4 linked regions of the Arabidopsis thaliana genome follow. The protein of the gene in region 1 interacts with the protein of each later gene in a pairwise test. Each region holds a gene or a part of one and is shown in the gene's direction. Other genes may lie near its edges.

Evidence for each region.
Region 2: the proteins of AT1G21000 (region 1) and AT2G31720 interact in a two-hybrid assay, tested with the Arabidopsis thaliana proteins (one large-scale study listed by BioGRID).
Region 3: the proteins of AT1G21000 (region 1) and AT5G61590 interact in a two-hybrid assay, tested with the Arabidopsis thaliana proteins (one large-scale study listed by BioGRID).
Region 4: the proteins of AT1G21000 (region 1) and NF-YA3 interact in a two-hybrid assay, tested with the Arabidopsis thaliana proteins (one large-scale study listed by BioGRID).

What each region holds. Positions count from the first base shown.
Region 1 is NC_003070.9:7,333,118-7,341,198, forward strand, and holds AT1G21000 (PLATZ transcription factor family protein), read left to right. Parts: upstream 1-4,487; 5' UTR 4,488-4,801; coding exon 4,802-4,804; exon of another isoform or gene 4,805-4,808; intron 4,809-4,889; coding exon 4,890-5,093; intron 5,094-5,180; coding exon 5,181-5,396; intron 5,397-5,653; coding exon 5,654-5,971; 3' UTR 5,972-6,335; downstream 6,336-8,081.
Region 2 is NC_003071.7:13,482,197-13,489,062, reverse strand, and holds AT2G31720 (B3 domain protein (DUF313)), read left to right. Parts: upstream 1-3,087; coding exon 3,088-4,029; downstream 4,030-6,866. Other genes in the region: AT2G31730 (basic helix-loop-helix (bHLH) DNA-binding superfamily protein), read left to right, coding at 470-586, 696-761, 839-904, 991-1,035, 1,113-1,280; AT2G31725 (FAM136A-like protein (DUF842)), read left to right, coding at 1,672-1,800, 2,222-2,359, 2,434-2,616; AT2G31710 (Vacuolar ATPase assembly integral membrane protein VMA21-like domain-containing protein), read left to right, coding at 6,168-6,264, 6,786-6,866.
Region 3 is NC_003076.8:24,762,021-24,769,356, reverse strand, and holds AT5G61590 (Integrase-type DNA-binding superfamily protein), read left to right. Parts: upstream 1-3,845; 5' UTR 3,846-4,098; coding exon 4,099-4,704; 3' UTR 4,705-5,101; downstream 5,102-7,336. Other genes in the region: AT5G61605 (EMBRYO SURROUNDING FACTOR-like protein), read left to right, coding at 403-466, 557-741; ERF104 (ethylene response factor 104), read left to right, coding at 1,989-2,714; PFK4 (phosphofructokinase 4), read right to left, coding at 5,530-5,697, 5,800-5,954, 6,041-6,089, 6,180-6,404, 6,491-6,531, 6,606-6,735, 6,823-6,891, 6,971-7,024 and 1 more.
Region 4 is NC_003070.9:27,403,653-27,411,768, reverse strand, and holds NF-YA3 (nuclear factor Y, subunit A3), read left to right. Parts: upstream 1-4,228; 5' UTR 4,229-4,487; intron 4,488-4,638; 5' UTR 4,639-4,680; coding exon 4,681-4,978; intron 4,979-5,089; coding exon 5,090-5,181; intron 5,182-5,262; coding exon 5,263-5,337; intron 5,338-5,425; coding exon 5,426-5,599; intron 5,600-5,683; coding exon 5,684-6,070; 3' UTR 6,071-6,308; downstream 6,309-8,116. Other genes in the region: AT1G72840 (Disease resistance protein (TIR-NBS-LRR class)), read left to right, coding at 84-386, 490-1,728, 1,822-2,265; AT1G72820 (Mitochondrial substrate carrier family protein), read right to left, coding at 7,263-8,116. UniProt on the Arabidopsis thaliana protein: Stimulates the transcription of various genes by recognizing and binding to a CCAAT motif in promoters.

The sequences.
Region 1 (8,081 bases):
ATAGAAATAATAATTGAAATTTAGAGAGATTCACCATTTATTTGTTACACTTTTGAGATTTATGATGAATTTCAACCATTTAAAAAGGAAGAAAATATATTATAAGCAACGATAAACTTTCTGCTGTGTATGCGCTGTAAGGGGAGGAGAAGAGCATCAACGAACAACAGAGGACTGACACTATGAGAAAGATTCTCACTCAATTAAAACACATCAAAACTTGACTATAAGTCTTGATCTAGCCAATTGTTTAACTTTGTTCAATTCCACAAGTTATTCCACACTGTCATTTCATCTCTAGATTAGTCATCATTGGATTAATCATTCTTTCTCGACAATTACTTTCTCCATTAGACAAAAATGAAACACGTATAGATATATAAAGAAAGCGAATATGAGAATATTTATATATTAGCCATAGTAACAGTAGTTTCTCTGTATTCTCATACATATTGTTCTGATAATGAATTCTTGAGGATAGATCTGTCTAGATATGCTTAGAAATGAACATTTCGTTTTCTTTTGGTTAGGTTATTCTGGTTTAATAAAAATATAACTGAAGTTATTTCATTTTGGTTCGGTGTGACGTTATAGAAAAGTAAGAGTCCAAATTCTAGGTAATTAAGGTGTTAAATCTATTAGAGAGGACATATAGATGACGATGAGTTATGTGAATTTGAAAGAAAAGAAAAAAAAAAAAATTACCGTATGCAATTCACACATGCATGCACGTTTTTGGTTATTTAGAAATACGGATATTTCAGTTAACATTACAGTGCAGTTCGATTCGATTAGTTCGGTTAAAGTATAATTCAAGTCTTACAGGAAATGTTTTTGGTTTTCTTTACTTCAGATTCTTTTCGTTTAATTTGGTTCTGCTCCTAAGTCCTAATTATGAATTTATGATCATCAGATTATACTCTCTAGCTGCTTTTGTTTCTGCACCTTCGAGAGTTTTGGTGTCTATTATAATTTTCTGACGGATGTGTTACATATAAACTTTTTTAATCCTGTTTTATCTTCATTTATCAAGTACATGTAGATCAAACTAACTCGCAAAATTCACACCAAGAAAAAAGAAAAAAAAAAAACTAACTCACAAAAGTGCCCTTTCAGAGAGAGTTGAGGTTGAGGGCCTGAGGCAGGTTCAATTGGGCTTGGAAGAACGCTTAATTTGGTTTGTAAAGCCCATAATATGTCATTACACAATACATGACCCAGACGGATGTAGCTAGCTCGTATTAGCCCATACGGATCAAATAAAGTAATAAACTCATTAGACGAAGATGGCAGTTTCGTAAATACGAATTATTTTACGTTCGTTATATGTAAAATAGGGATCGATGAACCTGGATTGATCCTAGTACTGTTAAAGAGACACGTAGGATAGTGACTCTTGTCGGCTAAATACTTTTATAGCGTAATCTTTGTCCGTATACTTGGTTTGGTTCCTTTGAAAAGCTCCTTCCCGAAATCGAGGACCTAACTCCGATGAATGATGTCGATCGTATCTTCATGCGTATTCATAGTTTATTCATTTCTCTGAGATTATATCATTCATTCACCTTCTTGTCTTTACTTTTTTGCTCCTTGTCTTTACCCTTATACGAAGAGTCCTTTTAAATTTTCGGATGACAATTTCGAATTGATAAGTAACTTCCATACAACTCCTCACCATTTCGGAGGGTTAGTCGACCATATCACTACTCTAATGGCTATGCGTGGTTTACTATTCGTATGTATGCTTGTGGATAATTCTACAAACAAAAAAAAAAATTGTTACTTCAAATTTAAAGTTCGTTACACTTGGGTTATACTATTAGGGTTAATTACTCGAACTTATTTCTTTTAACAAAACCTAGAGTTTTTCTTGTTTCTATTGTACCATATATATAAACGTGTTTGTTAGTGAAATTGTTTAATGCATGAAAAACTCGATATCTTTTCCTGACTTTCTTAATAGTTTTATATTTGTGAGTTAATATCTTTCTATCTCCATATTATTTGTGTGTTGTTTTTGTGTTGTCAAAACAAATAAAATCATGAGAGATAGCTTAAACATAATTTTGTTACCCTTTTTTTAAAGTCAATTAAGAGTAAGCAAATATTTAATCTTTTTGTTATTAAGAATTGATAAGATTTTATTGAATATATTAATTCATCTGCATCCTAGATTTTTATAAAATAGTTCATTGTAAAAAGTGAATCGCCGAGTTATATATGCGTATCTAATCTAAGTATCATCACGACGTTCAGCTCTAATCTAAATCAAACCACAAAGTAATCAATATTGTAATTTTCTAAGTTTAAGGACTTCTTTTGTTTTGGAAGCGTGTAATTAATTAAGGGCCAAACATGTTTTTCCATTGGCTCTTCTTTGCCACCAGAAGCAAGTTGCAAAAGAGAGTGAAGCACCCAAATTGATTAAAAAGAATTAAAAAAAAAAAAAGGGTTCAAATCCTTTCCATCGTGCTGCAAATTGCACTTTTTGTTGGTCATCCAAATTGCTCATTAATCTTCGTTAAAAAATATATAACATTTGGGTGATGATTAAAAAAGTAGACTGTAGTGGACCCGCCACACCTAATCGTACCCAATGATAATCCGGTAAGGTTCGGTTCCATTTGTCCGCATTCCCAAACTTAGAAAATGAAACGGAAAGAAAAACATAATGTGTTTTAGTTTTTATCTTAAAAAACTATAGACAAAAACTCAAAACATTTTTCGGATTGTATACCAATAAATAGAGAGAATGTAGTTTTAACCTCGCAAGTCTCAACTGATGATCCGACTCGTCCAAAGCATGTTTATAGATTTAACTAGTTTAGCTACCATTCAAATTTGATTTTTAGGTTACCGTCCATTTTTATAGGACCAATTCTATAAGAAGTGGTTTAGATATCGGGTAGATTTTCATTTTCCGACTTCATGCATGATTTAGTTCTTAAAACTTGCATGTTTGGCTTCTACTAAGACAACCCTCGTTTTTCTGACGACTCACGTGGTCAAACGGTGCACAAAGGTCACGTGAGGCACGTGCGTTCTACTGTTTAAACGCCTCTTCTCTTTTGCTTCTTTTTTGCCAATTTGAAAGAGATAAGAATACAAATTAAAAAGATGTTTCTTCCACTTTCCTCATCGCCGTTCTATGCTCACTTTCTTTGGTCGGATTTCCAATTACATTGTTAACTATTAGTGGTCACATAATTTTTTCATGACGTGGATCACACTTCTCTTTTTACATGTCTATCTCCTTAATTAGTATCTTTAATTGCTTTCGACATCAAAAGCTAATATCTATGTTTTACACTCTATTAGTTGTTTAATATTCACAATATTCAATATCAAATCTCACCGTATTTGGAAAATGTTTATTAGTTCAGTACATGACACACTCGTAATCAACATTTTGAATTTTTTAAAATGTTTTATTTGTTCAGTACATGACACACTCGTACATTTCGAATTGCTTACTTTTTTTGCTTTAACAACGTCCAAGTACAAAGGAGATTCTCTAAGACTACAGGATTTGACTTTTTACCAGAGAATCTATCAGGTTAAAAACGATACACACACACACACACAAATTTACAAAAACAACTCTAGTCTCTCTACTTCTAAAAGTTTAATAATTTGTTTTTAACTTTGAACTACAAACGAACTCCATTTATTGTTTCTTGGATCACGTTAAGTAACGTGGCAGCTGAACGTTGACCTATGACTCAAAGTGAGTCCCACTCTAACTATCATCTTGACGGCTCAGAGTTCTCCACGAGTGTGAAGTGTCAATCGGAGGAGGGGGTAAAACCGTAAAAGCTTCCGACACGTCCCACGAAAAAGGATAATACGAGAAGGCTCTTCTCATCATCCAACGGCTCACGATTTAACAAGACTAGTCTCGCTTCTGTCTCTTCTCATACCCGTCGATCTGTCTTGGCTTTTCAGCTATCGCCACCTCTTCTCTCTTTTTTGCTTATCTCTTCAATTTTCGGATTTAAATTTTACGAAAAACAAAGAATTAGGATAATACTATTTGTCTCTCTAATTCTGACCATAATTAATTTTTATTTTCATATTTGACTTTTACAAATTCAAGTGTGGGAGTTCCTTTATTCTTGTTGTATCACTCTCAATGCTTAACTAGATTTGACATCCACATATGTGTTTGTCCGCTTATTATACATATGATGATATGAAAATATATCAATCATTATATCATTCGTAAGCTGAAAAATTAGTATGCTATTTTTTTCTATGTCGAAACGTAATTATTTATGACCATATTTGAACAATAATATCGCATTTTCACCTTTTATTTTTAACCTTTTAAGACTTTCCTTTTAGGTCTTCTAGATGCACACTGGACAGACACGCATATTCAAGATACGTGTGTTTTTGGAGGACTTCAAAAAAAAAAAACGAGATAATGATTTTCCCAAATTACATAAAGAAGAAAACAAATTGATTTTCCCAAATAAAGGAGTCAGAAAAATATAATTTAGGAACAAACAAAAAAGATACCTTTAATAATAAACAAAAATAACTCTAAAAATATTTTAAAATGAAATTCGTATGAAATATAAACCGCATAAACTTATCGTGACCGCCTTCAAATAAAAATAAAACCCTTTATTTTCTCTCTTTCAGCCGCCGCTTTCACTTACCTCTTCCTCTTCCTTCTTCTTCTTCTACCTTCTTCTCGTAAAGGTTTTGCTACACACTGGAGCTCGCAAATCTGGCTATCGAAAACCACAATCACAAACTCAACTTCGGGGCCTTCAAGGCCAATCACAAGAAAGTCATGGTGAGTCTTATTTTTAATTCTTTTTGTTTGTTTTTACCTTGCTATCAATCTTCTCCAGATTCTGATTTGGTTTCGTTTTGTTCAGGGACCAATGATAAGAACAGAGGAAGAAGAAGACTATACAAGTCCACCGTGGCTAATGCCAATGCTACGAGGGAGTTACTTCGTCCCTTGTTCCATCCATGTCGATTCAAACAAAAACGAATGCAATTTGTTCTGTCTTGATTGTGCTGGAAATGCCTTTTGCTCTTACTGTTTAGTCAAACATAAAGACCATCGTGTTGTTCAGGTTCAATATCTCTTCTTCTTCTTTTTCTCCTCCTCAATCTCTCGGTTTTTTAATTGTAATGTTAATGAAAAGAATCAAAATTTGCAGATACGAAGATCTTCGTACCATAACGTTGTGAGAGTGAATGAGATACAGAAGTTCATAGACATCGCTTGTGTTCAGACATATATTATCAACAGCGCAAAGATCGTGTTCCTCAATGAAAGACCTCAGCCTAGAATCGGTAAAGGTGTTACAAACACTTGTGAAATCTGTTGCAGAAGTCTCCTTGATTCTTTCAGGTTCTGCTCTCTCGGCTGCAAGGTATAACACAAAAAGACTCTCCCTCTGTTTTTTCCCCTGTTTTCACCATTTTTGTTTGAAACAATTCATATGGTTTTAACAAAAATGTAAACTTTCTTAAAACCCATTAACGCATTTCACTTCTTAATGATATCTATATCAAATTTTATCCGGTTTTGTTTAGTTTTGTTCGTGATTCATGTGGATATGCTCTGTTTTTGTAATGTTATTTGTGGAAATAACGATATTGTCCTTTGGTTGTTTTTTGTTCTGTTTAGCTTGGAGGAATGAGGAGAGGAGATTTATCTCTAACCTTCTCTTTGAAAGGAAAGCATGGGAGAGAGTACCTTGGTGGGTCGGAATCAGATGAAGCTACTACACCGACTAAGATGCGTAAGACCAATGCTTTCAACCGTCTGATGAGTGGTCTCTCGATCTCAACCGTTAGATTCGATGACTACGGTCCCAATGGTGATCAAAGGTCTTCAAGCTCTGGTGATGAAGGTGGTTTTAGTTTCTCTCCGGGAACACCTCCGATCTATAATCACCGGAATTCAAGCAGACGAAAGGGTGTCCCTCACCGTGCTCCGTTCTAAGAAAAGATAATTACTAAATTTCCAACCCCATAGTAATTAATTATATATATATATATATAGATAATGGTATAATACAATGTATAACTTGGGGTGAAATTTAGGATGTAGTCATAATGTTGTAAATGTGTATTATTTCTTTTTATAGTTTTTCTAAAAGATAAAGGTGAAATAATTAGAACACATACATAAATACATTTTTTATAAGTATAGAAGAATTAGGTTTTATAGTGGAAGTGTTTGATGTTTAGTTTGTTTAAAAGGCATGGCTTTGTCTTGTGTTGTAATGTAATGTGTACATTAAATTTTTGTTCATACAATAATAATATCAAGGTGAATGATATATTATAAAGTTTATGCGTTGTCTAATGACTAGTGACTACTATATTTAGTCTATATCACCATTTTGTGACATTCATCTAAAACAAATGTTAGTGTAGTCTAATCCTTTCATGAACTGTTTTATATGGTAATGTGTAACTGAAGTCATGTCGTCATGGTTACATGGTTTGTATAAAAGTCGTAAGAGTGACACTGAGACATATTTTTCAATACTATTGATTGATTTGTTGTAGTTTGACGTAATCAAGAAGAATATTATAATAGTATACGCTAAAGAATATTATTATGCGGTTTAAAAAGTGAGCAAGTGGATAGAGGAAAATAAGAGCCGTGTGGAATCCGAAAGGCTGCGATTCTCTCTCACCGTTAAGAGACGGGTGTTCATTCCTTTTTCTGATCGCTCAAAATTATTCAACATCATATTTTAAACTCTCTACTAATCCACGGAATCGAATAATTGGCAAACTGTTATTGCTTATAAAATTTCATTAGTTATAATAATGTTTTAATTATGCCATTTCGTAAACACAAAAATCGTTTTCTGTAGCTTTTTAGGTATCCCACAAATTTACGTTTTCTTCTTTTCACTAGGTTTTCACACTTAAAGCATCACAACTTTTTACTTTTACCAAAAAAGTTCCGAGCTTGGTTCATAATTTCTCGGAGTCGAAAACTAGAATTTCAAATTATCTTGTTTAGGATCACTACAAATTTTATTTTACGAAAATGTTAACATCAAAAATAATTTATATAAGGCGGTAATCACATATTTTCAGTATATATAGTTTTTTCACTGTAGTTTGGTTTTCTAGAATAAGTAGTTACACAAAGAATTTATGATAAACGACTGTGAATGTGTGCTTGTCCTAAGTTAGTAGTTACCGAAAAAAATAGAAACAATATCTCAAAATAATATCGGAGTCTCACTTGTAAGTTGTGAAGGCCACCACAACATATATTTGTTGCATTTCTGTCTAAATCTTTGAACAGAAATGAAGTAAAGGAAACAAGAAATCGCATTATTTCTAATCTTATACTTTTGGATAAAACCTTTGCTATTTTAGTCCTTGCCAACAACAATACATGTATACAAGAGAGAGTATTGCGACCAAGGACCGTGGCTCTGCCACGTAATCTTAGACCGGCCCCTACCGGCTTAGGCAGCGACCGAATGGGGGCATTATAGACTTTTCAATAGGTCGGACTTTTCAGCTAGTTGTGCATCCTCGTCACTCCGACTACGACACGTGTCGAAGAAACCCATTAAGTGTACGACACGTGTGTTGAGAGAGTGTGAGGGGACCACGTGAGACCTTGTGTGGAGTTATCTTGTTCAGTCTCCCAAGACGTTAAGTAATCAATATAATATTAATGGGAACGCTAGCGACACGACGGGATAAGGATTTTGGTGATGTATTTAACTATTTCTATAGTTTTGTTGTCGCTATCGAAATCGTGATATTTTGTTTATTTCTGTAACTTTACTTAATGTGGAATATAGTACTTGTTCTTAATGATCACATAGAGTTACGAAAATGGTGTTAGCAAAACATTAAAATCTAGGATTTCTGACAATTAAGAAAAGATAATAAAATTTGGACTAGCTTGCAGTTTCACGTACGGACACATTATTACACATTAGGAGATTGTTTTGTTTCCTACAGTTTCATGCGTTTACTATAAAATAGTATTTTTATGATATAAATCTCCTCTTGACTATCAGATTATGTCGGAACCGAACCAGTACCCTTCTGTCTTTTTCTGCTCCTAA
Region 2 (6,866 bases), on another chromosome or scaffold:
AATGTATTGTCTATGTATGGAAGCAAAGTATGATATCATATTTAAACATCTATGATTGTGCTACTAAACTTTAAATAATACTTTAAGCTGATGTGATCTTATATGGATAACCTCTGACCATTATCTACTTTCTTTGACCATTGCTCTTGTTTTCTAATCCAAAAGTCGTATCTTCCAATGCATTAGTTGGTCCAAACCTAGATTTGCATCCCTTAATTTGTAGTAGTTAACATCTAATTTTGATGTTAAAACCAAGACACCACTTTGTTTGTCTGGTCTGAGAATATCTCAAGGCGTATAGTTTTGTCCTTATGACGCTTGCAAAAGCAAGTTGTTGAGTTGTAATCTTATGTTTTTTTCTGCAACTTGCCTTGGATGAAGCCATGAGATTATCTTTATAAATGGTAGCAAGTAAACCGGTTTCTTATGTCGAAAAACCGATCATTTTTGTTTTGTTTGATGACAAGGAATGGAATACTCTAGAGACTCGGCAGAGATGATGATGGAGACTAAGCGCAATGTCTACTCGCTTGAAGATAACAAAATTAAACGACACAAGTCATCTGATCTCTCTTTCTCTTCCAAGGTCTTGTGATACATCAAAATCAAAATTCATTGTGGCTATGAAGCTACCGGACATTTCTGTACCAGCATGCTAATGATCTTGAAACTTTGTTGTTCTGTGGTTTAAACAGGAGAGGAAAGACAAATTAGCAGAACGTATTTCAGCTCTTCAACAACTAGTTTCCCCTTACGGAAAGGTACTACTTGGTCCGAAATAATCTTTCTTACACGCTCTTTGTCTTCTCTAGCCATGTTCAAGTCTCTATCTATGCAGACCGACACTGCATCAGTTCTTCTAGAGGGAATGCAATACATTCAGTTTCTTCAAGAACAAGTCAAGGTCTGCTCAAGTTTTCTAATCAAATACTTTTCATTCATTCACCTCCTCCAATCCAATGATGATTATGCTTGATTTTCTCTGTTCAGGTTCTAAGTGCTCCTTATCTGCAAGCAACCCCTTCTACTACAGAGGTGAGCTGAATCTATGATCTGGATCTCGTTTACTTGGATCACAATGCAAGACTGATATTTTCCATCTCTGTAACTAGGAGGAAGTGGAAGAGTACAGCTTAAGAAGTAAAGGGCTATGTCTTGTTCCATTGGAGTATACATCAGAAGTTGCTCAAACCAATGGTGCTGATATTTGGGCTCCTGTGAAGACTCCAACATCTTCTCATGCTTTTAATCTCTCGTCTTCTAATTCGCCCTTTCAATGAGCTGCTGCTAAATTCTCTGTCTCAAGACTAATGAAAATTAGCCAAAGCTTTGGTCTGATCATGTATTGATGGAGAGACCTTGAAGTCGGTGATGGCTGTTTCTGTTATTTTTTACTGCTTAATCCCAACTCTGTGGTGGCTTCTTGTAACAATTGATTCTAATGCGAAGTTTAACGGACCGGTCAATGACCGGAATTAGCTTCCTGTTTAATAAAGTTTGAATTGGTGAAAAAGAGTTAACCGGTTTAGAGAAACCCGGGAAACTTAACCCGACCCAAAATTGTCAAACCCGTTTTGTTTGCGGCTATTGAAGGATCTTCTATTGAAGAGAGCAGCTAGCTAAAACCCTAAAGCCCTAAAATCAAAATTACGCTAAACAGAGAAGGCGACAATGGATCACATCGCTGCGGCGGAAGAGCAAATCGTATCGGAGAGACTTCGAAGAAAGCTTGAAGAAGTTAATGTAGCTGCTCAGACTCAGCTTTCTCCTATCCAAGATCACATCAATTTCACCCTTCAGGTATATACAAAAATCTGTACTTTTCGCGAGCTCAGCATAAATTCTCTCTGATATAACAATTTAGCAATGTTAGCTTCTGAATATGGAATCTTTATTGGTTTGATACAATGCTAGTTTCAAATTTGATGAATTGAGTAGGTTCATGAAAAAAGTCTGAAAATTTGCATTTGGGTTCGTACTATATTCGTCTTTAGACACTATGGATTAGGTTCACGACAATTGCTCTGGTTTAATTACTATATTGTGCTCTGTAGGATATTCGATAAGTAGGCGTGTCTCGTTGCATAACAATTGCTCTGCTTTGTCTTCAGAAGCATGAGAGTTATTAACACCTTCTCTTGTGTTTTTGGGTTGCTATATTGAGTTATATGATCCGTTGATTCAAATTAATTAAACCCTGACAACGATATCATTGTTGCAGCAAGCTTATTTCAAATGTGCATATGAGTGCTTTGATAGAAGAAGAAAGCAAGAGGAGATAAGTAACTGCGTCGAGCACTGCAGTGTTCCCGTTGTCAAATCTCAACAGTATTTCGAGAACGAAATGGCTCAATTTCAGGTAAAGATATCTGCTAAAAGATGATACATAGTTTGCTGTGTATAAAGACTGATTTTTGTTGAATGAATGTATAGGAAAGATTGAACAGATCACTGGTGGTGTGTCAAGACAAGTTTGAGGCCTCAAAGCTCCAGAAGATAAGGCCTGAAGCGGTTAACGAGATGGAGAGTTGTGTGCACAAATCCATTGAGGAAAATCTCAATACATTACCACATATTGTGCAGAGAATGAAGACAGCATTTAACATAACCAACTAAAAGCTCTCGTGAAAAACCTTGGATTCCAGAACTTGACTAGCCATATTGTTTGAAAAGACCTTTTCTTTTGTCTTAATATGATCTACAAATTTGTTTTCCTTTTTCTTATATTAAGTTTTAAAATTTGCCACTGTTTTGGAATAACTGTATTTGCTTGTTCTTCATCTTCCCTAGCGAAAACTTTAAAACTCTATAAAAAAAAATTGAGGATAAATACATGAATTTAAAGATTGAACCGAACAAAAGAGACTAACCAATAGAATAGAAGCAAGTAATTTAGTGAATATCTAAAACTAATATAAAAATATATAGAGATTATCACTAACAAAAAAAAATAAAAAATAATAGAGAGTTATATATACCTTTGTTCGTTTGTGAAAGGAATTGACAATCAGAATCATATAAAAGCAAGACTATAAACTCCTCTCTGCCGCTTAACTCTTTCTTCTTGTCTCTCTATTTTTTATAACAATGGTGAGAGGAGATGATCAACTTAATGGTTTGCAGGGAGGGAAGAGAGCGTTAGATATTTTATGTGTAGCGACGGAGAGAACGGTTAGCGCTTTTGCATATGAGGAAATAGGAGAAACATCCACTGAAGGTGATAAAAGGAGGGAGAGACTGAGAAGACTGAGAAGATTAATTAATTACAGTCTGAGCACAACTATGAATTCCAGCTTGAGCAAACGACTGAAGATTGATGAGTGCAAGAATCAAGACCCGGAACAAAACCCTAATCGTGTTGCTTCTTCTCCAAGTTCGTGCCATCTAGAGTCCAAGAGGCCTCAAAAAGTGGTTTCAAACAAACCGGTAAGAAACAGAAAGCCGGTTATAGTGACAGATGAAGATAGGACACCGACGGAATGGCTGATTGACGTGATGAGAGAAGTGAACGGTATGGATGCAAAGCTGATATTTGTGAAGGTTCTTCCCAATAGTGATGTCGACGAACTTCAGACACGTCTTATGATGCCCTGGAAGCAGATACTAGATATGGACTTCTTAAACGAGGAAGAGTTAGAAAAAATAGATAGACATCACAAAAAGATTAGTGCCAGTGACAAAGGAGCGGATGTGATCGTGGTGAATTCTAAGGGTCTACAGAGGAAGCTTAAGCTCAAGAGATGGGATATGACTTCCACTTCCAACTACGTCTTAGGTTTAGGATGGAACAAGGTCGTCACCGATAACATTCTACAGAGAGGCACTAGGCTTCGGATCTGGTCCTTCCACTCCCCAGACATGCTCTTTTTCGCCTTCGTTCTTTCAGATCCAGATCCAGCTCCGACTGAGTGCCTAAATTTATTGGCTAAATTGTGCGAGGAGACGACTTGTCTCGAGGCTTTACAAGAGGCAAATAGGATGAGCTCACTCGTCTCGGACACAGAGCTGGACCTCGAGCTCCGGTTGTAGTTAAGAGTTTCCAGCAGCAAAAAACAGCTCTTCTAGCTCTACTGCCGAGGTTTGCCATGCAAGTATTTTTTTTTCAGACACTCGATGTTGAGTTAAAGTTTGAATATGACTTGACAATTAAGTCATTAAATCCTAGAGAGATTAGGACTAGAAACTTTAGGAGATATCTAAACAATATTTATGAGTTATCTAAATATTAGTTCTATTAGGATTAGGATTAGGATTGTTTAAGAGATCTCTATATAAGGAGATACCAACATGTGGTATAACTTATGAGTTGAGAGTTTAAGTTTTGAGTAAATTTCTTAAACTAATAAAGAGAGTTATTCTTAAATCTTTGTGTTCTTGATCATCTCAAACTATATTCGAAGATGGCTTTTTTGGATTTTTGTCCTTTTTATCTAGGTGTTTTTTTTGGGTCTTTTAGCTCAATATACTGAGTGTTAGTGTTAACATTACGAGTTTGTTTTAGATTGTGCTGATTTTCATCCCTTATATAGTTCCTTTTTGTTTGAACGGATGATATTTGTTTTTGGCAAGTTTTCTTTCCCACTTGTAAGATCGGAACAAACCAGTCAATGACATAACGAAAGTCATATAAACTCGTAAGATCGGAAGTCGGAACACACCAATTATATATATAACGAAAGAATGTAGTAAACAGACAGTGACATGAATATATCTCACATAATCAATTCAGAAATAATATATAACTTTGACCCAATTGGTCCTCTAGGTAGACTGCAGTGACGTACCTATGAGCCACGATAAGAAGCCAAGCCATGTTCCTCTGCTGAGCTCTCTGAAGAATACTCAACTAGCTTTTTCCGTAGCTCAATATGTTCATGGCGAAGTTGTGCAAGAGGCAAATAGGAGGAGGCTCACTGGTCTCCGTCACAGAGCTGGACATCCATCTCCGGTTGTAACTAGAGATTCCAACCAAAACAGTTGTGCTATGTGACTAATCTCTGTTTATTGTAGACTCTTGCTCTATTGTCGTGGCATGCAAGTTTTTCATACTAAATAATCCTAGCGTAAAACATAGAAACTAGTTTGAGTGTTGGTTTCCCCGGACATAACTCCATCAAGACATGGTCTGCCGTATGATAGTGCATTCCTAACATGGATGGTAATTGGAGAAGAAATTCACACAATCCAGTCCAGGAATCACCTCACCAAAAAAGTTAGCAGACTCTTCTCTAGAAACTTTCCGCATCAAACAAAACAATTGTTTGGGAGTACTTTATGCTTCATGCCAAATATCCACTTTAAGAAAAAATGAATCAGATAACACAAACAACGAAGAAAGTAGACCAAAGGAAAAAATAATTGTTACCTTGTCAAAGAAAAGAACATACCCTTGTACCACATAATGTGCAAGATCAGATGCATTCAAGGAGCTAGAGGGATTTCCGCATATTCATGATATGCAACCTAACGAGCCTCCCCTGAGTTAACCATTGACTCACTCGGCCCCTTAGACATTGTTTGAAGCTCTTCTTCAACATAAGGTGGCCAAACTAAAGATGAAGACTTAGTCACAAGAGGCAAATACTGAAAAGGTGACATAAGATCTTGCCCTCTTCTTCTCCATTGCTTATTATTGCCTTCCCTATTTTCTTGAAAAATATTTAAAACGCAGGATAAAAAAAAGTCTGCAAACAAATCGACATTAGCTTGAAGAGAAAGAAACTCATTTTATTTGTTTCCCAAAGTCAAACAAGAGAACACGTTCATTTACTCTGCCAGGTAGTGGAAAACAACGTGTAGTCGGTATGCTCTGGTTAGAAAACGGCACGTAGTTTCTTCGAACTTGAACCGAATAAATATACCGGCTTATGCCGGATTGAAATGTGGTTTTAGTATATCTTTCTGGTTTAATAATGGCTTCCTTGTGATTTTGATTGACAAGGGAAACTCTGTAGAGAAAAGAAAAAATCTCGACTTCGCAAATTGCGAGAGACATTGAGTCCAAGACCGAGTTAACTCGCCAGATTCAATGTAAAGTTTTACTTTTGTCGCCTAATTTGTGTTATTTAGGTTATTCTGTTGAAAACCCTATATATAGATTCGTGTATTCTGTTTTCCACATCTTGCATCTTCGTTGATTCGTGGTTTAACAATTTGGATGCAGAACCATGGCTGGGGTTATGCAGAAGTTCCTTATTGCATCAATGTTTATGTGGATTCTTCCTATTGCAATATTATATGGATTCAACAATGATTTGCTTCCTGGTAAGGCTAAAATTTCCAGGTTTGACTTATGTATGAGGACATCTGTGTCATTGCTCTAATTGTATTGATGGTTCTAACTTTGAGTTTTGCTTAATCGTGTAAACTCTGTAGTTGAAGTTTTAGTGGAACTTGGTTTAGTAGAATAGCTGGTTGTTGGGATCTGATGGCAGATTAGAGAAATTCTGATTGTAACTTTTTAGAAACTGCAAACTTCTTTGATTAGAACTTAGTTTGTAGGTATCATAGAAACTAGTTGGAGCTGGAATGCTACAAGAGGTTATTCTATGGTTGTAACCTTACTTCTTGTAACAAAGGCAGTTTAGTCTTTGACGCGTAGTTCATGTAATGAAGTTTGATCATCTACACATGTGATAGCCTGTTAGTCGGTTACTGTACTTTTGGCATAATGTCTCTCTTTCTCTCTCAGGCTCACGTAGCTTGTCTGTTGTAGTTTCCCAGCTTTAGTTTCTAACAGTAAATGCTGTAGAAATTGACCGTGTTGCTCTGTTAAATCTCGACAGGGTCAACAACGTTGTCTCCACATTCTCTGACACTACTGAGTGGATTTCTTGCCGTGGTATCAGTCAATGTAGTTATTGTGT
Region 3 (7,336 bases), on another chromosome or scaffold:
AAACAAATTCAACATTCAAAATTTTTTTTTTTTTAATATATATATAAATTATAGATATTCCATTATACTTTAGTTTCCATTGAAACCACTATTTGATGGATGATTCTTCATTTATTCTTGTCGACCAAATTAAACTTCTAATGGTTTTAGGTCTGATTAGTATTTCTTTCAAAAACAATTTTCTTTTAAGAGAAAAGGTCATATTACTAAGGAATAGCAAAGAACTAAAACTAATAAAACAACTAGCTCTAAGCGTTTTTTTGTGCATCACTATAACAAGAGACGTGCACTTTTAATTAGTAGTTTAGTACTATATAAAACCCTATTACTTGTGTGGATTTCGACCAACCTATAACAAACAACGTTTCGGTATAATTTTAAGAAGAATATATCACAACAACAATGTCATCATTATATTTTGCTATCCTTTGCCTCTTCATGATTTTCCTCGTTCCTTTACATGAATGTAAGTACATACATTTTTGCATGCATATAACTCATCATCTACCATCGCAATTATAGTTAGTTTTAACTCCTATTTTCTCTTTTGTTATAGTTGGAAACGCACAAGGTTCTGAGGCGGAGCTGCAATTAGATCCATCAATGTGTCTGCGTGTCGAATGTGCAAAACACAGAAATCAAAAATGGTGTTTTTGCTGTGCCGGACTACCGAGGACCTGTTTTCTTGATAAACGAGGCTGTACGTCTGTCTGCAAGCGCGAATCTCCTTCAATGGCTTAAGAAACTTGAAGAACCCATATCTACAATTTACTAATTACGTTTAAATTTCTCTTGATATATGAATAAATATAAGTTTATGGAAAGGAAACAATTACGATTATGCTTATCGTAATTTAACATATTTTTTTTTATTTTTTTTTATGTTTATGGTAATTGTGTTACCATTGCAATTTGCATGTCTACGAATTCGTCTTGCATTGGTAATCCAATATTCCATGTGATGCTTTTCTTTCTAACTGAAGGTATTCGTGAAAACGAATTCAAGATTGTGGGAGATAATTAGGGTTTCGTCAAAAGCATGAATTAGGAAAATTTGGGATTGATTTTTTGAATTTGGGAAAAGTCCTAATTTTAATTCGATCAAAGCTTAAATGATGTCGTTTTGGGCTGACTAACGAAGTCGTTAACAGGTGCCAACGAGTGTTAAAAATCTGTTATCGCTTGATAACTCTTTGGTTTTTTAGTCTAATCAACACATTCTCATGTTTCAAACAGTTAATCAACATATTGTTCATGTTAAAAAATTAACACATGTGAAATTGATATATAAAAATATCATATATTTTCAAAAGTTGGATCATTAAATAAAATTTTTCCCTATTTTTGAAATAATTCTAAAACAGTATTAAAGATATTTCCTGAAATTGTTTGCATGTGATCGGTTTTGGACCGAAACTAAAAAACTTAGAAACTATATTAACTTTGAGTTGTCGAGATGAAGATGTGAAATAGAAATATAGGATCAATGGTTAGAATTTTGGCAAATGTATGAAGGTGTGTTTGATTGAATATTCCAAGTCCTTTGCCTTTTGGAATTGGCATAACTACTACAACAAAGTTTTGATAGGTTTTCCGAATTCTTTAAACTCCTTAAATTTTTAATACATCTCAATCAAACTCCACTTATACTAAAAATAATCCATATTGCATTTTTAAAAATTCTAAAAGAAGAATCACATGATAACTTGATAAGCACTTTTAAATGATAGATGTCCACGTAGAGGAATAAGACAAAAAGACAAAATAAAGAAAAAGGACGAAATCTAAAGAGAGAAAATAAGTAACAAGTCCAAGAAAAGGTAGTATGATCTTTCTCGGTCCGATCCTCGAAACTCCCTCGAAGGCTCGAACCCTCTCTTTGTTTTTTTACCACTATATAAGAAAGTCCGATTCCTCGTCACTCTTATTCCCACTTCCACACATACACATATACAACAGAGCAAGAGAGTCAATCAAGTAGAGTGAAGATGGCAACTAAACAAGAAGCTTTAGCCATCGATTTCATAAGCCAACACCTTCTCACAGACTTTGTTTCCATGGAAACTGATCACCCATCTCTTTTTACCAACCAACTTCACAACTTTCACTCAGAAACAGGCCCTAGAACCATCACCAACCAATCCCCTAAACCGAATTCGACTCTTAACCAGCGTAAACCGCCCTTACCGAATCTATCCGTCTCGAGAACGGTTTCAACAAAGACAGAGAAAGAGGAAGAAGAGAGGCACTACAGGGGAGTGAGACGAAGACCGTGGGGAAAATACGCGGCGGAGATTAGGGATCCGAACAAAAAGGGTTGTAGGATCTGGCTTGGGACTTACGACACTGCCGTGGAAGCTGGAAGAGCTTATGACCAAGCGGCGTTTCAATTACGTGGAAGAAAAGCAATCTTGAATTTCCCTCTCGATGTTAGGGTTACGTCAGAAACTTGTTCTGGGGAAGGAGTTATCGGATTAGGGAAACGAAAGCGAGATAAGGGTTCTCCGCCGGAAGAGGAGAAGGCGGCTAGGGTTAAAGTGGAGGAAGAAGAGAGTAATACGTCGGAGACGACGGAGGCTGAGGTTGAGCCGGTGGTACCATTGACGCCGTCAAGTTGGATGGGGTTTTGGGATGTGGGAGCAGGAGATGGTATTTTCAGTATTCCTCCGTTATCTCCGACGTCTCCCAACTTTTCCGTTATCTCCGTCACTTAAAACTTCGGAAAAGTCAACGTACGATGACGTTTTCACTTGCGTCACTCTCATGATTTCATTTATTCTTGTATAATATAAAGGTAGCGGTAGTGTGCAAATATCAAATAAGTAGTTTAATTAGTACCAATCATTTTATTCATTATTTTTTTTAGTAGAATATTTGGATGTTGAAAATATAAATTTAATTTTGTATTTGTTGATGTTATAAATTTATTGATTGTATAAACATTCTTAGTCATCAGTTTCGTTAAGTCCATATCTAAACACTTCATATCTGCTAAATAGTCAATAGATTATAAAATTGGATCAGGAAAAAGTAAATCGGAGCTATAAAAAAATAGTGTGCAACGAAAAGACAATTAATTAGTTAAAAATACATACAAATCTAAACAAATTCAAAATTTCAATAGTGGAAAACACCAATCAAATGGATAATGCTGTCGAAGATTATCTACAAAGCATCAATAAAAGTAAATAATTAATATTATCTTACATGCTATTATAAAAGATTATGAGATTAGGAGTATAATTGTCAAGCAACTGAGCAAGAGGGTAAGGTTTGGTTATTATATATGTGGAGCCCTATACGAAGTTATGTAGAAACAAAGAAATATCAAGTTGCTTCAAATCATATCCTAGCAAGACAACCCTACAAGACAAGCAATTTGATGAATTTGTCTCTCCTTTTTATTCGAGTGAAAGTCATTATCTTCTTATCTTTTTACTCGAATGTGAATATGCAAAATATCTTTTGATATTTAAGAGCTTACCTAGTGAGTCATTACTACTACGAAAATCATATATCAATCTTATCATAAAACTTTTAAGATAAAAAAAAAAAAGAAAAAACTTTTGAGAGATTGGCTTTTAAAGACTTAAGTTACGATTATAAACACTAGTAGTTCAAGTCTTTTTGGTTTTGGTTTGTGTTATGTTTTAGATTTAAAATTTCAAATGAACCTACGTCCTTAACCAACTCAATCAAAATTCTAGTTAAAAAAAATAATCACCATTTTGTTAGCATTCAGCTTAGGATTCGAACCATGGGTAGCTCAAGGTATTTTAAACTCTAGAGGAATAAAATGGATGTTAGTGAAATTTGTCAGCATCATAGACAAGATCAAGTTGGCACAACTTGAAGGGTCCTGACAAAATATCTTAAGTTGCCTCCATAAATGTTTAATGGATAAGACTTGGCCCCACAGAGTTAAACCAGAGAGACACAGAGAGAGACTTTTGACACCTCACCCATGGCTGCGTTAACACATGTTTAGGATTCCTTTCTTTATATAGCCAACAATATCATCAAAACTTTTTCTTCAAACACCACTTGCAGTTTTTCTTATTCTCCTGTCTTGTCTAAAGAAAAAAGAGAGAGGAAGAAATGGAGACTTTTGAGGAAAGCTCTGATTTGGATGTTATACAGAAACATCTATTTGAAGACTTGATGATCCCTGATGGTTTCATTGAAGATTTTGTCTTTGATGATACTGCTTTTGTCTCCGGACTCTGGTCTCTAGAACCCTTTAACCCAGTTCCGAAACTGGAACCTAGTTCACCTGTTCTTGATCCAGATTCCTATGTCCAAGAGATTCTGCAAATGGAAGCAGAATCATCATCATCATCATCAACAACAACGTCACCTGAGGTTGAGACTGTCTCAAACCGGAAAAAAACAAAGAGGTTTGAAGAAACGAGACATTACAGAGGCGTGAGAAGGAGGCCATGGGGGAAATTTGCAGCAGAGATTCGAGATCCGGCAAAGAAAGGATCCAGGATTTGGTTAGGCACTTTTGAGAGTGATATTGATGCTGCAAGGGCTTACGACTATGCAGCTTTTAAGCTCAGGGGAAGAAAAGCTGTTCTCAACTTTCCTTTGGATGCCGGAAAGTATGATGCTCCGGTCAATTCATGCCGAAAAAGGAGGAGAACCGATGTACCACAGCCTCAAGGAACAACAACAAGTACTTCATCATCGTCATCAAACTAATGGGGGAATAGTGATGTTTAATTAGTATATATAGGTTAATATCTTAAGTATGTGAAGCATCATGTATAGAGCCAAGAACCTGTTAGACTAGTGTACTGAAAAGAACTCTTGCAAAATATGTACTAAAGAGTTCCTGTAACAATGGAACTTCTGCGTTTTCTCTTGTCTTAAAGAGCTTAAGGTTCTAGAAACAAAGTTCTTGTCCTTTCGGTTTATTCAGAGTACACTATTTGGGAAGACAAGAGGACCTAAATCTATCGACTACATTTATTTATTAATCTACTGTGATACTTAAAATCGAATTTCTACCTGAAAGACCTTAACATAAGCCTTAAAGTTTCTCCAATGACACAAACAGTACCGTACAGTGGCTTCAGTATTCACTATTCGATATCACTGAGGTATTAATTAGTTCACATGTCCAGAAAGCGTGAATCAGTGAATTGAGTAGAAAGATGAACAAGTTGCAAGAGGGACCAAGTTTAAAGAATATAGCAGCCAGAGTTTTGTCTCATGGTTGGGTACAAGTCAGCATTCATTTTTTAAATATGACAAAGAATTGGATGGACCACACGCAACAGCTCAAGAGGGGAGAGATGCACAAGTTGCAATATGGAAAAGTAAACAGAGGAAGATATGTATTAACATCTCAACCTCATCGTTGAGATGGATGTTGATTATTATTATTAGGAATAACTAAAACCAAAGAATTCTTATAAGTTATAACAATGAAATTACTTCATGGTTTTTTGATAAAGATATCTCCTATGCATATATATCTAGTATACATTTGGAACAGTTGATGAATATCAACTGACCTGTTTCTTAGATAGAAGAGATCTTCATGTTATCGATCTTTTCTTGAGTTTCCATGTCGATCACATTCTGCAATGCTCCTTCACCAGTCAAGAAACTCGGTTGATTTGTCGATGCAAGGAGTCTAGCCCACATCCTATCAGTTAACTTCACCGTATTTGTCACTTCCGTCACCTGCTGCAGAAGTAAAAAATCATGGGATTAACTTTAACCACAAAGGTTTAGGACTCAATGATTTTAGTCTAAGAATGATTAGAGAAGTAAAAGAGAAAAGCTTACAGAAATTGGGATGTAAGCATGTCTACTGTTAACTGGTCCTACAGTGAAACCTGAGTACCCAGCCATTGCTCCATGAACTGCACTTTGGGCAAGAAGAGTGCAATAGACATTGTCTGATGCGTTACTCGGTATTGCTCTTATCATATACGTTGGGTCTGTTCAACAAGTACATGTCAATGAAATGCACAGAAGAGTGTTAACTGTTGTTAACAAGATAGAGACAGTGAGTCTGAAGATATACCTATGTACTTCATATTTATCATCATTTTCCGAACATTTGTAAAGTGATCCTGCAACATAGTGGTCACAAGATTCATCTTGAATGTTTGAGGGAAAACATATAGAAACCATTTTCTTAACTTTCGAGTTTCGACCAATACCTTTATCTGTTGAGTCAACCATAGACCAACATCAAGCAAGAGTCTATTTCCTGAGGCGTCTTTAGTTTCAGATGCACGCATGCTTTGAGCAACATAATCCTGTCCAGCTCCTTCAGCTATCACAATAACCATGTGCCTATTCTCTTTGAGTCGTTCTTCAATAAACTCAAAGAGCCCACCCTTTCCTTCAAGAAAAAATGGAGACTCTGGAATCAAGCAACAATCCTGTCACATTTCAAAGCTCCCATTGTTATACACCACAAATAAAGAAAGTTTATAGTGACAATTTAACAATCAAACTAATCTATTACCACATCACGATTCGCTAAAGTTGCAATCATGGCAATAAAACCTGCAGAATTTGTACCACAAGTTAACTTCGTATTCACAAAAGAAAGTAATCAACATATGTCACAGAATATTTACCACTGTATCTGCCCATGAGTTTAACGATACCAACTCCATTTTCCACGCTCTCGACCTCTACATGTGCAGCATTAATAGCTCGTTGTGCTTCCTCAACCGCCGTATCAAAGCCAAATGATTTGTCAATCACCTAGAACAATGGATGAAGAAGATGTATAAGAAACTCCACATGAGAGAAAAGTAGACCTTAAGTTGAAAATTATCAATGGGTATTTACAGCAATATCATTATCAATTGTCTTAGGAATGCCAGAAACCGCCACTTGAAGACCACGCCTCTCAACTTCCTTCACAAAATATGAAGCAAGTATCAGTAGAATTACTAATGCTACATTCAGCATTCAGTAATATGTGATATGAAATAACCTCGTATATCTTCTCTGCACCCTTTTGCGTCCCACCACCTCCAATAATATATACCTGACATACACATTGACAAAATATTAGGATGGCTCAGCTTCAATACAAACTAAACTACATAAAAATTATGGACAAAATGGAAATCAGTTATGTTAGCTACCTGATTTATTCCTCTATCTTGAATATTATCAACAATCTTCGCTGTATCATGTCCTCCTCTTGAGGTTTGAAGAAAAGTGCCACCGCGTTTATGAATATCGTTAACTACTTTAGGTGTCAGGTTCATAGTGTTTTTGGAGTAAAAGCCTCTATATCCTCCCTGAATGCCGAGAATGTTATTAACACCATACATATTGTTCAATCCACATACAA
Region 4 (8,116 bases), about 20 Mb from region 1:
GAATTGCTCTTGTTTTCCACTCTAATCTTGATGGTTTTTGGATATACATGCCTTTCTTCAGTTGTTGACGCTTTTATCAACAGGGTACTCGAAGAGTTGAAGGCCTGTCACTGCACTTGTGTGAAATGGCTGACACTTTATTATTGAGGAATAGTGTTTTTGGCCCTATGCATAATCTCACATTTCTCAAGTTCTTCCAGCACTTGGGTGGTAATGTGTCGAACCTGCAGCTAATTTCAGATGATTATGTTCTTTCTCGTAATCTGAAGTTACTACACTGGGATGCCTATCCATTGACTATATTGCCACCTATCTTTCGACCACACACCATTATTGAACTCAGTCTGCGATACAGCAAACTCAACAGCCTCTGGGATGGAACCAAGGTATGCTCATTCAAATTACATATTCGTTTTACTCTTTCTGATAAGGTCGTCATATTGTTACCTATCTTTCCTGTAATTCTGTGTTTTGCTGTATTGTTTTCAGCTGCTTCCAAACCTACGGATACTAGATGTAACAGGATCGAGGAATCTCAGAGAACTTCCAGAACTTTCGACCGCAGTAAATCTTGAAGAGTTGATATTGGAAAGCTGTACGAGCCTGGTGCAAATCCCAGAGTCTATTAATAGATTATATCTGAGGAAACTAAATATGATGTACTGTGATGGTCTTGAGGGAGTGATACTCGTCAATGACCTTCAAGAAGCCAGCCTCAGCCGCTGGGGCCTCAAACGGATTATACTGAACCTTCCTCATTCAGGGGCGACACTGAGTTCTCTGACAGATCTAGCTATCCAGGGGAAAATATTCATTAAGTTGTCGGGTCTCTCGGGTACGGGAGACCATCTGTCTTTTAGTTCTGTGCAGAAGACCGCTCATCAATCAGTAACACATCTACTTAACTCTGGTTTCTTTGGTTTGAAATCACTCGACATCAAGCGGTTCAGTTACAGGTTGGATCCTGTTAATTTCAGCTGTCTTAGCTTTGCAGACTTTCCATGTCTGACCGAGCTAAAGCTGATAAACTTAAACATTGAAGACATCCCTGAAGACATATGTCAGTTGCAGCTCCTAGAGACACTGGACCTCGGTGGAAATGATTTCGTGTATCTACCCACATCCATGGGACAACTTGCCATGTTAAAGTACCTCAGCCTCAGTAACTGTCGCAGACTTAAGGCACTGCCACAACTTTCTCAGGTGGAGAGACTCGTACTTTCTGGCTGTGTGAAGCTCGGATCATTGATGGGAATTCTTGGTGCAGGCAGATACAATTTGCTTGATTTTTGCGTTGAAAAATGCAAGAGTCTTGGATCATTGATGGGAATTCTTAGTGTGGAAAAATCAGCTCCAGGCAGAAACGAGTTGCTTGAGCTTAGCCTTGAAAACTGTAAGAGTCTTGTGTCATTATCAGAGGAGCTTAGTCATTTCACCAAGTTAACATATCTAGATCTCAGCAGCCTCGAGTTTAGGAGAATCCCAACAAGCATCAGAGAGTTATCCTTTATGAGAACTCTCTACCTCAACAACTGCAACAAAATCTTTTCACTGACAGATCTTCCAGAGAGCCTCAAGTATCTCTATGCACATGGGTGCGAATCTCTGGAGCATGTTAACTTCTCTTCGAATCATTCTTTCAACCACTTGGACTTTAGCCATTGCATCAGTCTAGAATGTATTAGCGATCTGGTTCGTGACTTTATGAACGAGGAATATTCTCAAGAGGTAAGGCTCTCTTCTCTATAATCTGTTCCCTTTAACCCCCTCATAAGCTATATTTTTAAGTTGTGACTTGATTGATTCTCATTTTGCACGTAGGCTCCATTTCGACTTGTTTGTATAACGAAATACTCAATTGCTTCTACCAACAATATGCGAACCTCATGGAGGGAACCTATGAGGATCAAACTACCTAAGATTAAAGCTGCCCCCAAGCTTGTGGGATTCTTTGTCCAAATCATGGTTGTTTGCGAAAAGCCCTTCCATCTACAGTTTCCAGCGTTTTCTTATAATTGGGACTGTGAAGGTAGCAGGTTATATCGGATTAACCTCAAACCAAATCTCTATCAATCATCAGAGATGATGGAGGACAACAATAATAGACCATATAAATGGCATCACCTGGTCATTGTCCAAATCCCAACTGGCATCATCAGCGCAGAAATTGATGAGGTGCAATTCGAATCCCATATCCAAGTTCCGGAGCCGGGCGACGAGATAATTTTGTGTGGAGTTGAACACGTTGGGTTCGTTTTAAAGTAGCTGGTGCGGAGATCAATTCTTAAGATGATGATGGATCTGCAGATTTCTAAACACAAGGATTTGTACCAATTTTCGTTTTGGAACTAAATAAATTACTACCCATGTAACCTCGTGTCGGTTTGCTTTTATAATCGGTTTGGTATTTTTCGGTTTAATTGTGACTTGATTTTATTTTTTTCCTTTTAAGAGAACCAATTTTTTCTTTCTGCTTTGTACTCGATGTCTGCCCTTTTTGCTCAACAAGCTTTACCAGATTGTATTCTGGTATTTCATCAGGCTAGAAATGGAGAAAGAAAAGTTGGAGCTGCCAAACCCACAGGAGTTGTGTTCTCACTGGAAATGTTACATTAAATATCATTGCAAAACAACTACTAATACATTGAATCTCCTTTGATTTTGGTCCAAAGAAAGGTGAATAACTTTTGATTTTGGTGCATATGGGATGATGACGGACTGATGAGTACCCAATATCCAGTGCCCACGTGTCCTAATTCTTATGGATCAATCAAGGGCTTAAAAGCCCATAAACATTAAACAGAGGGAATAAAGGAATGCTAAAAACTAATTAAGAAAACATCAAGTAACAATTATTATGTTTTGGTTGTTACTTGTTACTTCCAAGGATAAAGGAGGGATTCCTATGCTTGACTTGCACTAGAGCTTTATTTCATTGCAAAAAAGGTTAGGTACTTGATTAAGAACCCAACCTAAGTTTTAGTATTATACAATCCTTTTTCCCATCTCATTTTACATGCTTACACTTTCATTAAACTATTATACTCAAGGAAACTGGTTGCAGGTCTATAACTTGTAAATTAAAACTGTTCGTGTTATTTATTCCCATGATAAAATTGTAAGAGCGTGTGAATCACGAGCTTAGGAGAGCGTGTGAATCACGAGCTTAGGAGAGCGTGTGACATCAATATGGGGAGGGGCGGCTAAAGACTAACGAGTAAAGGCATAAGGGGGAAATTAAGGACTGTTCAGAGTTCAGAAATGTTTTTAGTCTGGAAACGACAATACACTTTGGACAAAAAGCTAAATAACATTTTAAAAGCTTCATACAAATTAAAAATATAATCAAACAAAAGCTAACGTGGCCAAGATAGCTAATTACTTTTTTGGAATCATTATTAGAGATAATGGAAATTAAGAAATCATACAGCCAAAACAAACCGTAGTTATTATATTCGTAACAAAAGATGGGGGAAAAGTTAATATAAAACAAACCTTATACTAGTATATATAATACATGGCTCATAATACATTACTGCTAAATGAGCAAAAACAAATAAAGGTAAAGTTCTTAACGGCTTTGTAGAGATAGGAATCATTAATTTTAGAGAAAAAAAAATCTTGAATTGTACGTTTACCTTTCCAGAATTACATTATTTGTTGGCTTTTAATTGTTAATCATTTTTGTTGTGTTTTTCCTCCAAATTATAAAATTTAAAAACTGTGTCAGGGAATTTAGGAATCTAATATAGTTGGACGATTTCGTATTAATAAAGATTTTCAAAAAAAGAGTCTGCTCTAATCGTTATTTGGGGGTAAATTGATTCTATAAGGTAGGGTTAGCCAGAGAGCCTTATTCTGTGTTTTGGGTTAAAGTGAGACCAAATAAATTAAGATATTTAAAATGAATAATTAAGAGCACTTAAGACAATAATTAACCCAGAAGGAGAAGCTGGTGTAGTGGTGGTTCTCATGGCGATGTTGGTTTCCCAGGAAAGGTAAAAGAGACGGAGACGAACCAAAACAAGGAAGAAAGAAGAAGATCTTACATACGAAGATCACTCTCTGATTCACTCTGAGAGACAAACTGGTTTACTTTGGTTCTGTTTGACAAAAGGAGACATGCAAAAATAAATCTCTATCCCTTGTTTTTCTTCTTCGCTTCATCGATTACTCAAAGAGGTTTCTTTCTCTATCTCTTATCTATTTCTTTCTGCATCTGTAGTCTCTTTGTTCGAAAAAAAGATGTTTAATTTCTGTCAAATTTTTCTCCTTTTTTCTTTGTTCGATTATTGGTGTATCTGTCTTGTGGCGTGCGATTGATGTTTACTGATTCTGAAAAATTCTTGCTAAAATAATTCATCTTCAAGTCAACGACTTTTTGCCCAAAAGTGATGACGGGAACAAGAAATTTTTCTTGGTCGGAAAATTACTAATTTTAGCCAATCGTAGCGATCTCTGCAATCGTGTTTTGGTTACCCAAGATAGTACGATCGAATCAGTTCGTTTAGAGAATTAAAAAATTACTCAAATTTAGAAACTTCCAACTTCTGTTTCTTTCTATTCTGGGTTTTTTCACCCACTTGGATTATTAGCTTTAAAAATCTAATCTTTGAGTCATTTTTGATTGTTATTTAGGTTGTTGGTTGTGAGAATAATTAGCTTGTTAAGGAAGACGTTATGATGCATCAGATGTTGAATAAGAAAGATTCAGCTACTCATTCCACTTTGCCATACCTTAATACTAGCATCTCTTGGGGAGTGGTTCCAACTGATTCCGTTGCTAATCGTCGCGGTTCTGCTGAATCACTAAGCTTGAAGGTTGATTCAAGACCTGGGCATATACAAACTACAAAGCAAATCAGTTTTCAGGACCAAGATTCATCTTCAACACAGTCCACTGGTCAATCTTATACTGAAGTTGCTAGTAGTGGTGATGATAATCCTTCCAGACAAATCTCCTTTTCGGCTAAATCAGGTTAGATTGTTGGTATATATATGTTTTACTTCTTGTGTCATTGACAAAAGAATCATCCTTTTGCCATAAAGAATGTTATCCTCTTTCTTACTTTCTCAGTTGTTTCTCTAGGATCTGAAATAACTCAACGGAAGGGGTTTGCAAGTAATCCTAAACAAGGCTCGATGACTGGATTTCCGAATATTCACTTTGCTCCTGCACAGGTATTTGTAACTCTATGAATACAGTAATCATAGCAAAGCTTTTGATTGTAGACTGATATCTTATGTTTATACATGGTTCAGGCTAATTTCTCATTTCACTATGCTGATCCACATTATGGTGGTTTATTAGCTGCAACTTACCTACCACAGGCACCAGTAAGTACACCCTTCGTTTCCAAGTGGGAGATTTACCTTTCAGTTTTATCTGTCCATCAGATCTCAAGTCTCTTAATCTCTTTTGCAGACATGCAATCCTCAAATGGTGAGTATGATTCCTGGTCGTGTTCCTTTACCAGCAGAGCTCACAGAAACTGATCCAGTCTTTGTCAATGCGAAGCAATACCACGCAATTATGAGGAGGAGACAGCAACGTGCTAAGCTTGAGGCTCAAAACAAACTAATCAGAGCCCGTAAGGTAGTTACCAAATTTTGGTTTATATTTTAAACAAACGCATACACGTAGAATTGCTTTGCTCATCTTTTCTTTTTCTTATTGCAACAGCCCTATCTTCATGAGTCTCGACATGTTCATGCTCTTAAAAGGCCAAGAGGATCTGGTGGAAGATTCCTAAACACCAAAAAACTTCTTCAAGAATCCGAACAGGCTGCTGCTAGAGAACAAGAACAGGACAAGTTAGGCCAACAGGTAAACAGAAAGACCAACATGTCTAGATTCGAAGCTCATATGCTGCAGAACAACAAAGACCGCAGCTCAACCACTTCTGGCTCAGACATCACCTCTGTTTCCGACGGTGCTGATATCTTTGGACACACTGAATTCCAGTTTTCAGGTTTCCCAACTCCGATAAACCGAGCCATGCTTGTTCATGGTCAGTCTAATGACATGCATGGAGGTGGAGACATGCACCATTTCTCTGTCCATATCTGAGACAGTGGATCTTGGTGCTGTGTTCATGTTCCCACCAAGAAGGGGAAGTCATCCTTGGCTACTACTAGTTCTTTCGCTTGTTGTAACTTCAGTGTTTTTATTTCATATTATGTCTGTGTTAGACATCACAAGAACGACCAAGATCTTCACTTTGAAACACTCTATTACCTTTTCATCTTCTGTTACCATGGATCTCTTGTCTAAACTAGTGATATGATTCTTCTGATAAACTTTCAATTCCTCTTTTGTTTTTTTCAGGATTTATATATGTTTGTTTTTGCTTCATTTGTGTCGGCAATGAAGAAGTCTCCTTATTCTGTTTGAAAATGGCGAAGAAAAATACAGATTCTGGTTCCACTCCATTGATTTCTGTGAAGAGACACATTCGGATTCTTGAAGTATTTTACAATTTAGTTGACAATGTTTAAGAAAACATTTAATGAAGAATCCAGTATATATTAGATTATGTCTTATTCTTGATACACTTCTTATAAATAAAGTAAAAAAGGTTGAAAGATTCTACTTTGAGTCTCATTTTATCTGTCTGAGAAGATGTCATACACTTGAAAATACTACCATTTCTTCCACACGTTCATGAATATTTTTTTCAAAATATCAAGGCAGTCTCTATGCATTATTTCCTATTTAAGATATAATATTTTGATAAGGTAAGAAGAAACGTAAAATACTGCTCCAAAACACGTTGACTTATGGGACAGATACACACACACTTGTGTCCCTCAAATACTAACAAATGATCATAATTTAACTTCTGTAAAGAAAAAGACAGCATTGTGAAATATATAAAGTCACAATCCTGTACATATCACTTTCGCAAGTGATTCATGAATTACTTCTAAATATAACATGTTGCCAAATCAAAGCTTGTCGTGTGTGCTTATTGATGTAAGACTGCAATTGCCAAATAAAGTCTTACAAGTCATCTTTTAACATTGCAACATATCATGTCGGTTTAGTAGCACGGTTATGGTGAACCGATACCTGGAAACTGAATTCAAGCCAATGTGGAAAGAACATTTATTTATTTAAAAACAACTGAATTTAACACATTCCTTACATATGACTGGAAACAAATGAAATAGCAGAAGAGCTAGATAAAGAACAAGATAAGTAAGAAAACTAGAGACATTTCCATAAAAGATTCTTCTATGTGGATTCCCAGTTGTTATCACTATGATTTAGAATAAAACCCGTCATGGTTCTTAGCAGAAAGCCGTTTCAAGAACTCGTAGGTAGTGATCATAGTTGTTGCAGACATTGACATTGAAGCACATCTTGGTCCCAATCCTCTATAACAAGCCGTCCATCCACCTTCTCTAACCAAGTTTCTTACAGTCTGTCCAATACTCGGTCCACGCTTCCCGTTGTTACTACTATCTTCCCCATCAAGAACCTGCAATCTCGTCTTGATTGTGTCGAGTGGCATTGTAATCAAAGCAGAAACACTTCCAGCAATCGCAGCACTAACTCCTTGAACAGCCATTATCGTTTTAGAATCTGGTTTCATCGTGGTACTATTGTTCCCGCTTTCTTCGTCTTTCTTACAGACATAACACCCAATTCCACCCCAAACCATCCGCTGTGCAACAGAGTAAGACGCCCACCAAACAGCATTAGACGGCGCATAAGTCAGAATCGATATCCCAAACCCTCTGTATAACCCCTTCGGTCCATCAGCGCGAACGATCTTTCTAAATGCATCAAACCCGTTAACATAATTACACCTTGATGCATTAACAAGACCAGCACTTCCTTGAACCATAAGCCTTTGGCTAACCACATCAACAGGAGTCCAAACAAGCTGTGCAGCCATCGCAGCACTCAAACCTCCAACCGCATTAGCAACAGCAGCAGCTTTAGCCTCTGTCAACCCCAAGCTGACAGCAGCAGAGCCTACGTTACTCTTAGTAACCTCCAAGGCAGTCATGTACAAAGCACGAGCAGGGATAGTTCCCATCAAAGAAGTTCCAAATCCTCTGTACAATCCCCTTAAACCTTCATGTCTCACAAGAGTAAACGCAGTTT